Canis lupus familiaris: one gene and its partners. The main gene of each other region encodes a partner of the protein of the gene in region 3 in a complex. Links are inferred from orthologs where the notes say so. Each region holds a gene or a part of one and is shown on either strand. Other genes may lie near its edges. The genes, in order: VPS72, ANP32E and ING3.

What was found.
Region 1: ING3 (region 3) and VPS72 share a complex: the UniProt entries of both Homo sapiens proteins name them as parts of the nuA4 histone acetyltransferase complex. The link is inferred for Canis lupus familiaris from reciprocal best matches to the Homo sapiens genes ING3 and VPS72.
Region 2: ING3 (region 3) and ANP32E share a complex: the UniProt entries of both Homo sapiens proteins name them as parts of the SWR1-like complex. The link is inferred for Canis lupus familiaris from reciprocal best matches to the Homo sapiens genes ING3 and ANP32E.

What each region holds. Positions count from the first base shown.
Region 1 is NC_049238.1:60,907,446-60,911,758, forward strand, and holds the start of VPS72 (vacuolar protein sorting-associated protein 72 homolog), read right to left. Parts: upstream 2,801-4,313; 5' UTR 2,728-2,800; coding exon 2,611-2,727; intron 1-2,610. UniProt on the Homo sapiens protein: Deposition-and-exchange histone chaperone specific for H2AZ1, specifically chaperones H2AZ1 and deposits it into nucleosomes.
Region 2 is NC_049238.1:60,128,171-60,131,790, reverse strand, and holds part of ANP32E (acidic leucine-rich nuclear phosphoprotein 32 family member E), read left to right. Parts: intron 1-177; coding exon 178-327; intron 328-1,090; coding exon 1,091-1,213; intron 1,214-1,945; coding exon 1,946-2,111; intron 2,112-3,620. UniProt on the Homo sapiens protein: Histone chaperone that specifically mediates the genome-wide removal of histone H2A.Z/H2AZ1 from the nucleosome: removes H2A.Z/H2AZ1 from its normal sites of deposition, especially from enhancer and insulator regions.
Region 3 is NC_049235.1:59,197,595-59,201,907, reverse strand, and holds the start of ING3 (inhibitor of growth protein 3), read right to left. Parts: upstream 2,889-4,313; 5' UTR 2,827-2,888; coding exon 2,799-2,826; intron 2,552-2,798; coding exon 2,480-2,551; intron 1-2,479. UniProt on the Homo sapiens protein: Component of the NuA4 histone acetyltransferase (HAT) complex which is involved in transcriptional activation of select genes principally by acetylation of nucleosomal histones H4 and H2A.

The DNA of each region.
Region 1 (4,313 bases), on a different chromosome or scaffold from region 3:
GAGAACGTGGAGTACACCCTAGAATTGAGGGGTTACAGGTTAGGACTAGAATGGCAGCCACATAGGAAAGTAAAGGGAAAAACACACTTAAGGGCGAGGGAGTCAAAAACTGGGCAGGGTGGCACCTCAAACATGTGGCTCTCTCTTCAGTCAGGGATGTAGACCAACAGGCTAATCCTGGTACACATGCTGCCAAAGCAAGCAAACAGCACAGACAGCTGACATGCCAAGCTAGCCAGAGTTCAAACTTGCACCGATGGCCATCATTTCCTCCCAACTGATGCTTGTGAAAGACTGCCTGGGAACACATTAATCCCCTCAGCTCTAACCAGGTATTAAGTCATCGCACCAGAGAGTAGTCATTGAACTGCACATTAGCTTAGTGTCCGTCCAATCAAGATGCTTTCACTAAGTTAGGGATTTACTACCATACCTTTGGCTTTTATCAAGGGTCATTAATAGGCATGACTAGGTAAGTGAATGTTTCTACATCATCTAGTGAACCCATTACTTTATAATTTTATGTAGAAGTGCACTTCTTCCTAGGACTTAATGCTGAATAAATTTTTCTCTCTTAAAGAATGTATATGCCTCTTTCTTACTGAAAAAAGAAATTCAGGGCTTGGCTGCCAGGAAGCTCACAGCTAAATTTATTATTTATTTATTTATTAAAATATTTTATTTATTTATTCATGAGAGACAGAGAGAGAGAGAGAGAGAGAGAGAGAGAGAGAGAGGCAGAGACACAGGCAGAGGGAGAAACAGGCTCCATACAAGGATCCTGATGTGGGACTCGATCCCGGGACTTTGGGATCACGCCCTGAGCCAAAGGCAGATGCTTAACCACTGAACCACCCAGGCGCCCCGCTAAATTTAATATAAATTGCTATTACTATTTTAGCAGAGGTTCCTGGTACAATTACTTCTGATCTGTCTCTATTTTTACAGTTCCTACTTTTTGTTTATATTGTAAGCCTCCTTTAATCCTTTTTGGAAGCATGAAGGGTACATATTAAATAACGACTCGTAAAATGACAGGAATAGGAAAATGGCCTTTGGGGGAGGGATGAGAACATTCTATTTTAAACTATAGTTGGTCTACTGTGTAAGTAATGACTCCCAATCAAGTCCTGTGGATTCAAGTCCTATGGATTCAATGTCCTTAATTTGTCTTGAAACTATTGCCCATGTTTCTCTACTCCCACTGCCTCCTTCAAACCATTCTCCTCATTACAGAGTGAGCTTTCTAAAATACAAATCTGATCATGGTACTTTGATGAATCTTCTCAGTCGTCTAGAAAAAGAGCAAAACCCCTCAACATGGTTCATAAGGCCCAACATGATTTGGCCTATGTCCACTCCCTCCAACCTTATCAATTTTATTCTCCTTCAAGGTTTGGAGAAAGGAGAGTAGGCCTGCATGTACCACACAGACTCAGTACCTTTACACATTCTGCATCCCCCCCACCCCTCCACACACACACCGTTTCTCCTTATCCTGCTCCCAGCCCTACTGCTGTTCACTGAGTCAAGGCCTACTTTTCATACTGTAGTAAGCTTAAACATCATGTCCTCCAGGGAGGCCAATCCTAACCAATAACTCTGGCTCCCGTATATTACCACAGCACCCTAGCTTACCATTTTTTTCCCCTCCTTATCACAAAGTATTTCAGCTGTTAATCCAGCTGGTTCCCCCCACTGGGGTCTGGAATACGAGTAACAAAGTGGTGTTTTCAATACTTTACGCTTCCCTAGAACTTACCACAGTGGTTGGCTTGCCCTAGCTCTTCAACAGATATTTTTTTAAATTTTTTATTTATTTATGATAGTCACAGAGAGAGAGGGGCAGAGACACAGGCAGAGGGAGAAGCAGGCTCCATGCACCGGGAGCCCGATGTGGGATTCGATCCCGGGTCTCCAGGATCGCGCCCTGGGCCAAAGGCAGGCGCCAAACCGCTGCGCCACCCAGGGATCCCTTCAACAGATATTTTAAGAATGGACAGATTCAATCAGCACCAGTGCCGGTCCAATCCAGAGAATGGACCAGGCACTGGACGTATACTGCTGGACAAAACAGACCATCTCTAACCTGACAGAGCTTACAATCTAATAGAAAAGTATAAACAAGTAGGCAAACCAAATCTAATTGCAATTCGAAATATATTATATGAAGGAAATAAATGGACCACTTTTTAGAGCAGTTAGGGAAGGATTAACTAAGGAGACATTGACGTTGAGATTTGAAAGGTGAAAAAAGTAGGCTGAGCTCCTGTATTTTGTGAAGAGATCCTTTTCTACCTTCAGGTGGATAACCAAGCAGTAGGCCAGAGTCCATACTGCGTGACTACGAGGAGCTCGAGTACGTTAGACGTCAGAAGTGAAACACGCAACCCGAGAAGTATACGCTTGGTTTCTTCCATGGTCTGGGGTGCCTCGGAGAGCCCCTCATCCCTGAGCCCTCCAACCCCATCCAGGACTCTCCCACCCGCTCTCGAATATCACTCCCAGGGCTGATTCTATCCATTCCCCGCCCCCTTCTTTGTCCGACGTTTCTCCGTTCAGGACTCCTAGTAGCTTCCTCCCCTCCCTCTTCCTGGGCCCGACTCTTGCCTCTGTGAAACCCCCGTAAGTCGTCTGGTAGAACTCATCTTCCTCCTCGGCTTCCAGGAGCCCAGAAAGCCGGTTCCCCGCGGTCTTCCGGGGGGCCCGGCCACCGGCCAAACTCATACTGCCTACCGAGACTGCGCCGCCACCAGCGGCCCCTCACCCAGCGCGGTATCGGCGCTCGACACAACTACCTGCGGCGGCGGGCGGCGGCGGAAGCCCTTCGTCCACAGGCAGAAGTAGGAGAGCGTCGAGACGCTTCTAGGCCCGTCTGTCAAGCCTTCTTCTTCTTCTTTTGTTTTTTAAGATTTTATTTATTTATTCATAGAGACCGAGAGAGAGAGAGGCAGAGACACAGGCAGAGGAGAAGCAGGCATCATACAGAGAGAGCCCGATGTGGGACTCGATTCAGGGTCTCCAGGATCACGCCCTGGGCTGCAGGCGGCGCTAAACCGCTTCTTTACCCTGCAGCCCCGCCCACGGGGGGGGGGGGGGAGCGGCGTGGAGACGACCCCCAAGCTCCCTCCCCTAGCTCGCGCTGATCTGGACTGCAGAATGATTACCGGGTGACGCCAGCAGCCCCACTACCCTAAGTCCAGAATTTGAGAGTCAACAAATGTTCACTTAGAAGAGGTCAGTCTCCCTCTGCTCCAGTCCGTTTTCCACTCTGCTTTTAGTGATGAACCTTTCTTAAAAAACAGACTTTGTCAGTCTTCTGCTCAAAGATCTTTAATGGGGATCCCTGGGTGGCGCAGCAGGTTAGCGCCTGCCTTTGGCCCAGGGTGCGATCTTGGAGACCTGGGATCGAATCCCACATCGGGCTCCCGTTGCATGGAGCCTGCTTCTCCCTCTGCCTGTGTCTCTGCCTCTCTCTCTCTCTCTCTATCATTAATAAATAAAAATTAAAAAAAAAGATGTTTAATGGCTCCCTGGCATCTACAGGTTAAAGTACAGGATTCTTGGGGACAGAACAGTAGTGTGGTTAATATTAGATTTATAACCAACCAGACCTGAGTTTTGAGTTTAGGGTCTTCTAGCTGTGTGACTTTGGACAGTTGGTGGAATCTCAGTTTTCTCACCTGTAGAGTGGGACGAGGGGTGCCCGGCTGCTCAGTGGGTATAGCATGTGACTCTTGATACCAGGGTCGTGAGTTCCTTGGACATGGAGTCTACTTAAAAAAAAAAAAAAAAAGAGGTGGGAGTAATAACATCTACCTTTTACAGTTGTTGAAAAGATTAAAAGATTAGGAGATCTAATCCTTTTAAACTTCTTCAGCAGGATTTAGTAAGCACATAGATGGTTAGTAGGTGATAATTACTATTAACATTGACATTAAAGATCCTGCATAATTTGGCCTCTCCCTGCCTTTCTAGTTTCACCTCTTGCCTCATCATCCCATTCTAGCATCACTTCCCAATCCTCTGTCGTGCCTGTGTGCTTTTCCTTCTCCTTAGGATTCTTTTCCTATCTTATATACCTGGCAGAATCCTGGTTATATTGGACAGTGATGTCTTCCCACTCGCCCACCTCGCTTCCTAGCAGTTTCCATAATCATGGAGATCATGCCTCCTCAATTCTCCAGAATAGTTCCAATCTCAAATAGTCTGTGGAATTGTTAAGACCCTGTGTCGACTTCTTTTCCATCTTTTATCCTGAAAATATGATTGTCAAACCATAGCACTCGTACCTACGCTATGGTGGCAGCTAT
Region 2 (3,620 bases), on a different chromosome or scaffold from region 3:
TAAAAGATTAACTTATAATGATGACTTTAGATTGTATTTCAGTTTTTGGTTAGGGAGGAGTGAATGGAAGGGATCTGTGTAAGGGAATTAGTGGTTTTAATATTCACATTGCCAGTTGTCTTGACCCGTCTTTTGCTAAACAGACTGCAACATAATCATTCATTTTCTATCTTACAGGTGACAGAGTTAGTCCTTGATAATTGCCTGTGTGTCAATGGGGAAATTGAAGGCCTGAATGATACTTTTAAAAAACTAGAGTTTCTGAGTATGGCTAATGTGGAACTAAGTTCACTGGCCCGACTGCCCAGCTTAAATAAACTTCGAAAGGTAAGTTGGTATTAAGTGTGAAATCATCATAATTTTGATGCCGAGGGCTAACATGTCTAGGTTTTGGCCAAATGAAACAACCGATCTGCCTTCTAATTAGAAGTTTCTGAATTTCTAGAGATAAGAGAATGGGTTATGCAGGATTTTAGAATCAGCTCTAATACTGCTTTTAGAAATTTAAACATAATAGTGAAATTGCTTTATGACATGAATGTGGATTTATTTATTTTTTAAAATTATTTGTTTATTCATGAGAGACAGAGAGAGGCAGAGACACAGGCAGAGGGAGAAGCAGGCTCCCCGTGAGGAGCCTGATTTGGGACTGGATCCCAGGACCCCGGGATCACAACCTGAGCTGAAGGCAGATGCTCAACCCCTGAGCCACCCAGGTGCCCCATGAATTTGGATTTAATATCTACTAAATGTTTTTCTCTGAAACATAAAATCTACCTATAACCCAACTGGAACCAAATTTGGGGTAGAAGCTTATTATATAGGGGTTCCAATACATTATTTGGTGATTATAGGTAGGAATTTGGAAACTAATAATTTGTAACATTTCTTCTTCAAATTGATATATTTTAAAAAACTGGGGGCGCCTGGCTGGCTCAGTTGGAAGAATGTGTGACTCTTGATCTTGGCATTGGGTTTGAGCTCCATATAGAGTGTAGAGATTACTTAAATAAATAAAAAACTTAAAAAATAATCCGATCTGCCCTAAGCCTTCACCATTGTTTGTTTTTTCTCCATGTTGAATATATAGTTGGAACTTAGTGACAATATAATTTCTGGTGGTTTGGAAGTCCTGGCAGAGAAATGTCCAAATCTTACTTACCTCAATCTGAGTGGAAATAAAATCAAAGATCTCAGTACAGTAGAAGCTCTGGTGAGTGGAAAGTCTCTGGACTTGCTCTTTTTTGGTTGATTTTCTGAGATTTGCTAGTGTTTTTATCTTCACTGATTTATATTTCACTCTTTGAAACTTCTGAATTTCTTATACGTTTTTAAAAGGATCTGCCTTCTCTTCTTTTAGAGTAAACCATTCAGATAAATTTTTAAATCTCTGAGAAATTTATTTTATTAATAACCTCATGAGTTGAATATCTGGTTTTAAACTTCCCAGTATTTTCTTAAATTCTATTCTTTTTCCTTCTTTCTTGATTTAATTTAATTTAATTTAATTTAATTTTATTATTTGCTTCTTTGTTTCCTGGAATGAGATGAAGTGAAACTCAGAAAATTGTTGTTCTGATTTTAAAAAAGCTTGGCAGGAGGTTGAAATTGTTGACAATAAGCTTGACTGGGTTTAAAGCTAACCACATTATTATTGTTGCCTATTTATGCACATATATGGTCAACAAAATATATTGAGTGGCTACTACAGGAAGACTCTAAGCCAGGTGTTGGAAATACAGTGGTGAACAAAATAAACTTCCTATTCTTGTGGAGTTTACATGCAGGTCCTCATAAAGAGAATTGATACGATAACCCTTCTTTATAAAATTTGAAAAATCCAAAAATCATTCTTTTAATATATGTTTTCAGGTCCATGAAATAAAAAGAAATAACATAATATTTAAAATCTTGAAATGTAAGCTTTAACTTTTTACTTTTCCAGCAAAATCTTAAAAATTTGAAAAGTCTTGACTTGTTTAACTGTGAGATCACAAACCTGGAAGATTACAGAGAAAGTATCTTCGAACTGCTGCAGCAAATCACATACTTAGATGGATTTGATCAGGAGGATAACGAAGCACCAGATTCAGAAGAGGAGGATGATGAGGGTAATCATTCTTAATGCTTATAAATACAGGCTCCAGCCTAGCCAGGCAAGTTAGATTGGGCCTGGATATTTAGGTGATAAAAAAAAAAAAAAAAAAAAAAAAAAAAAGATGTAAAACAAGAAAAATTACAAAACCCACAGCCCTAATCCTGTATTTCTTATTTTAGATTGCTGATAGCTTTGGGGAATTTAATGATTATTATGCTATCAAGCTATGTGAAATTTTTTTTTTTAAGGATTTTATTTGAGAGAGAGAACAAGAGAGAGCACAAGCAGAGGAAGTGGCAGAGGGAGAGGGAGAAGCAGGCTCCCCATTGAGCAGGGAATCCCATGTGGGGCTCAATCCCAGGACCCCAGGATCATGATCAGAGCTGAAGGCAGATGCCCAACTGACTGAGCCACCTGGGCGCCCTCAAGCTCTGAAATTTTGTATCTGTATGAACTTGTTTAATGACCACCTAGTAAAAGTGGCAACTTTTAAAATAGTACTTTTTTTTTTTTAAAGGAATCATTTCTTGTAGTGTTATCCATAATAGTCAAGAAATAGAAACAACCCAAATGGCCTATCGACTGATGGAGAAACAAAATGTGATATATCCATACAGTGAAACATTATTGATTCAGTCATAAGAATGAATGAAGCACTGATACATGCTCTTGCATTGAAATCATTCTATGAAGTAAAAGAAGCCAGACACAAAAGGCCACATTTTGTATGACTCCATTTGTATGAAATGTCCAGAATAGGCAAATCCATAGAAACAGAAAGTAGGATAATGGTTGCCAGGGCTGGGTGAGAGGAGAATGGGGAGTGACTGTTAATGACTGGGTTTTTTTTGAGAGGGAGAGGGGAGGTGATGGAAACGTTCTAGAATTAGGTAGTGAATATATATGATTGGATAAGTGGGTGACTAACAGATCAGATGATGGAATGGCTGTTGTTAGTAATGGGACACTGATTACTCTTGGTTGAAAATCATTTTTACTATAAAAAGAAATCTGATGGACAAACAATATTAGAAAATGATAGAATGATAGAGAAGTGGGTTTTGAGATGTCCATAAGGTAAAACAAACTTTAGTGCATGTAATATTTTAATGAAAATCTGTACGTTGGAAATATTTCAGTATTTAGAAACCATAGTTCTCAAATAGTAAATATGGATGTTGTGAAAGGGAAATCTTTTTTTTTTTTTTTTAAGATTTATTTATTTATTTAGAGAGCGAGCGAGCGCACACAGGTGAACAAGTGGGGAGAGGGGCAAAGGGAGAGAGTCAAGCAAACCTCCTTACTTGAGGGCAGAGCCTGAGACCATGACCTGAACTGAAATCAAGAGTTGGACACTTAACCATCTGAGCCACCCAGGCACCCCCTGTAAAAGGAAAATCTTAAAAAAAGAAAATATCCCTGAGATAGTTTCCACCTTCCCATTGGCTTTAGAGTTTGAAGTGATTGGGGCAAGGGCAGATAGGCTTAAAGTACTAGCAAGAAACATTTGCTCAGCCACTCA
Region 3 (4,313 bases):
AGGATCTATTAACTTTAGAAAATTCTAGTTGTTATAAAATGCAAGTGTATAAAACCTCTCATCTGGGGCGCCTGAGTGGCTCAGCTGGTTAAGCACCTGCCTTTGGCTCAGGTCATGACCTCAGGGTCCTGGGACTGGGTGCCCCCAACCCCAGTCGGCTCCCTGCTCAGCGGGGGAGGCTGCTTCTCTCTCTCCCTCTGCCCCTCCCCTGCTCGTGTGCCTGCACCCACGTGTGCTCTCTCTCAAAGATTTTAAAGAAAATCTTTAAAAAACATAAAAAAATAAAACCTCTCATTTGTATAATCCAATTACAAATCACAAGAGAATTTAAAATTTGTAATGATAACGAAGCAAAAATAAGTCACCTTTTCGTGAACTTCTGCTTTGTATCAGATACTATAAATTCTAGTTTAACTGTGTTATTTTAAATCCTCAGATGATCTCCATTCTATAGACAAGGAAAACCCCTCAGAAGTGGTAATGCGGTCAAGGTCAAAGAGTAAGTCAGCAAAACTCTAATACGAACTCGGATCTATCTGACATCAAGATCTGTGCTCAGTCCCATAGAAAACGCTACTTTAGCATTTCAACTACATGACAGTCAAAATGAATTTTGTGGGCAAGCTAAAGAAACACACAGTTCAGACTCCTACACTATGACCCACTGAACATAAAGAAGGCTTCCGTAGCCCATCACCTTGTATGCCGCATGGCCACATGGAACGCACCAGAGGCTCAGGAACCTATATTCATCACCCGTGGGTATGAAAGCGTGGGGTGCGAGTGTGGGGTGGGGAAGCACGGGGGAAAGGACAGGCCCTCAGGAGCTGCAGGATCCTCAGGGATGCTGGGTCTCTGATTTCTTTCCATGATACCCTTTTCCCCCCAGTCATACCCCCAAACCCAGATCCTCCTCCACCGCTACTTTTCGAGGACAAAAAAAAAAAAACCTAGTGGCATGAGAAACATTTTACGTAGATAGCCTAACCACAGCTAGAATAAATGGGATCAAGGCACGTATTTTCTTGAGGACAGACCGCATGAAGGCCAGCCATTAATATCAACTGCACAAGTTTTTTTGTTTTGTTTTGTTTTGTTTAAAGTAACAAATGCAACTTTAATTGATTTCTGGATAAAAACTACTCAGTGCAGGTCAGTAACCATGGCAGCCCCTGCTCTGTTGGAGCCATCTTCAGGCTCCAACAGCCTCCAAGACCATCTGTTGGACGGTCTTCAGGACCTAGGTCAACGGGCTATTTGCATTATCTCATGTCATCCACAGTATTAGAAAAACATTAGATCAATTTAGACGAGATGCGCTGCTGGCAGCCAAGCCTACATCTACAGAGAGGGTGACATCCGGGCTTAAGCGCACACCCCATTGTACATTTTAATCATGTAACGTAAAAAAAAAATAAAATAAAATAATCGTGTAACGTGTAATTCATTCCGCACTCGTAGTTCACAGTATGGTATCCCTGCAAGAGAACCGGAACGGCTGTATTACATTCATTTCATAAAAGGGGGAGAAGGCCTGTGAGGTTCTTTCAGAGCACGACAGGCGTAAATTCGTACTCGTTTTAACTGTGATTTTGCTCCAAGTGTTGACCTCCTCGTTTCCAAGGCACTGACTCTTTCCTTGCTTTGAGTCAAATCCTTCACAAAAACAAAACAAAACAAAACAATCGGATAAACCAAATACTGCTCTATGAAAGAACAACGGTTAATTTTTTTTGGGGGGGTGGGTGGGTAGGGGGAAGGAACCAGACTACCAAGCTACCACTGATCGATGAGAAGTCATCACTTTTATTGCAACAGATAAGCAGCTTTACAGGAAGGTCTATTTTCCTCACTCGTTTTCATGGGGGGGGTGGGGGGGGAATAGCATCATCCTGCTGGCGGGTGGGAATGCATCCTGCAAGGTGCGGCTTTGCAAGACTCGACATTCCAAGTTCAGCGGGGTCACTAAAGAGCCACACCAACCCCCAGGCTGCTGGGTTTTCCGCTCTGCAGAAAATTCTGAGCAGAACCAACTTCAGCAGAAGTCTAAATGCCGAAATCTACGTTCCGGACGCAAGGGCTCGGGCCAGAAACCACCATCTTCTCCACACCTACACCGACGTGCGTTAAAAGCATGTGTCTACGTCCTCCCCGAGGCACAGAAACTTTTATCCCAGTCTTGAATTCGGGAAAGAAACACACACGCGGGCCCCAGCGCCTCCTCCTCGGGTAAAAGCAAAGGGGGAAGCGGCGTGGACAGCAAGAGGCAAGATGCGGCACTGCCTTGTGTATGTGTGTGTGTGGTTTTATGGTTTTGGGGGGGTTTTTTTGGCGTTTGTTTTTTTTTTTTTTTTTTTTTTAAACGACTCCTTATGCACTAGCCCGTGAGCCGGAGGAGAGTCAGAGAGCAGAGGCGACGACGTCGGTGGAAGGTCTGGCCCCGACCGCGCGCGGCCGGGCGGGCGAACCGCCGACTTACTCTGCACCTGCAGGTCCATCTCGCGCATCTCCGTGAAGCGGTCCCGCAGGTCCATGGGCAGCTGCTCAATCACTGTCAAAGGGAGAGGCCGTCAGCGGGGCGGGGCCAACGGCGAAGGGCGCGCTGACGTCACTGCGTGCGTGCGTGCGTGCGTGGGGGGGGCGAAGGAGCCGGCAGCCCACAGCCCGGCTGCCAGTTACCGTGAGAAAGAAACATCCCCCGCCTCCCCCTCCCTCCCGCCATCCCGCCCGCCCGGCCGCTCGCGCGCCCGCCCGCCCGCGGGTCCCCCAGGCGGCCCCCGCCAGCGCCGCCCACTCACTTTCCAGATAGTCCTCTAGGTACAACATCGCGGCCCTTAGAGCTGGGGCAACGAGGGGGTCCAGGGGTTTATTTGTGTCACTCGCTGTCGCCGGAGTTTTGTCCCTTCCAATATGGCGCCTCCGCTAGCAGCACCCGCTCGGCTTCGGCGGAAAAAAAAAAAAAAAAAAAAAAAGAAAGAAAAAAAAAAACCACTTTGGCGCCTGACGGCGCTTGCCTCACTGCCGCCCGGAGCCGTCATTGGCCGGCTGGGGCGATGACGTCAGCCGGCCGGAGTCCGCCCGCGCGGCTTTGTGGGAAGTGTAGTCCGGTTCCCCCCCACGGCGAGGATCGGCGCGCCCGGCGGTTACCGGCGTGGCAACTACGAAGACCAGGCGGCCTTGCGCCCCGTGCGCCGCGGAATCCGAAATGCGGTGCCTCTGTTTATTTGTTGATGCCGGCGCGGGGCATGACGGGAGTTGTAGGCGCCCGCGGAACCCAAGTAGGAGCAACTTTCCACCTGTTCCCGGCCGGCGTGCCTCGGTGGCCCCGGCGGCTGGGAGTCGCGGGTTTCCAGGCGGGCGGGGCAGGTGGAAGGTGTTCCAGCGCCGGAACGGCCAGCGGAGTTCGGGCGATCCGCATTGTGTAAGACAGAACTCCTGGCTGGAACGCATCCTTAGTCTCCGACTGCTCAAAATACCCACGAGGCGCCTGCTTGGCTTTCCTGCACCTGGACGGGTGGCCGCCCTCCACGCGCTCTTTACCTGCTTTTATTCCGCGGTCCGGCTCGTCGTCACCGTGATGTCATCGAGCTGAACGCACGAAGTGCACCCACCAAAAAAAAAAAAAAAAAAAAAAAAAAAAGCAGAACTAGAGAACAAGCAGAAATAACGGATGGAGACTTGCTGCTGTCGAATGAGCTGTTCTAAGAATGACTTCAGGCGGTGTTGAGTAAGCAGCCCGCCCCCAGCTGTCTACACCCGCGGGAGGGGTCATCTTCTACCCCGGGACCCCTTCCCCGCCCCGTGATGGATTCGGTCCTTCACGGCTCAGTTTTCTTTTTCTTAAGAACATCTGCACGCAGCACAGGTCGAGAGCATCTTTCTCTCCCACCTGCCTTAGCTCTCTGTTCGTTTTCCTGGGAAATGTGTCTTCAGTTCGCCATTCAGTGTTCTATTTTCACTTTTTTTTTCTTTTTTTTTTTTTTTTTTTCAAATTGGAGTCGAGACATTTGATGCATTTTTGAGTTTTCTCCCTTCCGCCCTCTTCTACCCAAGACTTTTTCCACCGCTCATGGTCAGGATGCTCACCTGTCGTGTTGGTGAATGTCAAGGGAAACCCACCTCAATTCTAATGATTACCTAGTTTACTTTCTGTACTTTTATCTAAAATCTAGGATTTTCGGGTTTCCTCCCTCCTACACTCCCTTCTTCGTTCCTTCCTTCCTTCCTTCCTTCCGGCTGCCTTTAAGATCTCTTGGATATTTCTGTGGTTTCTCAGTGGTGAATCTAGGTCCATAGTCATTTCTTTGTTTCCT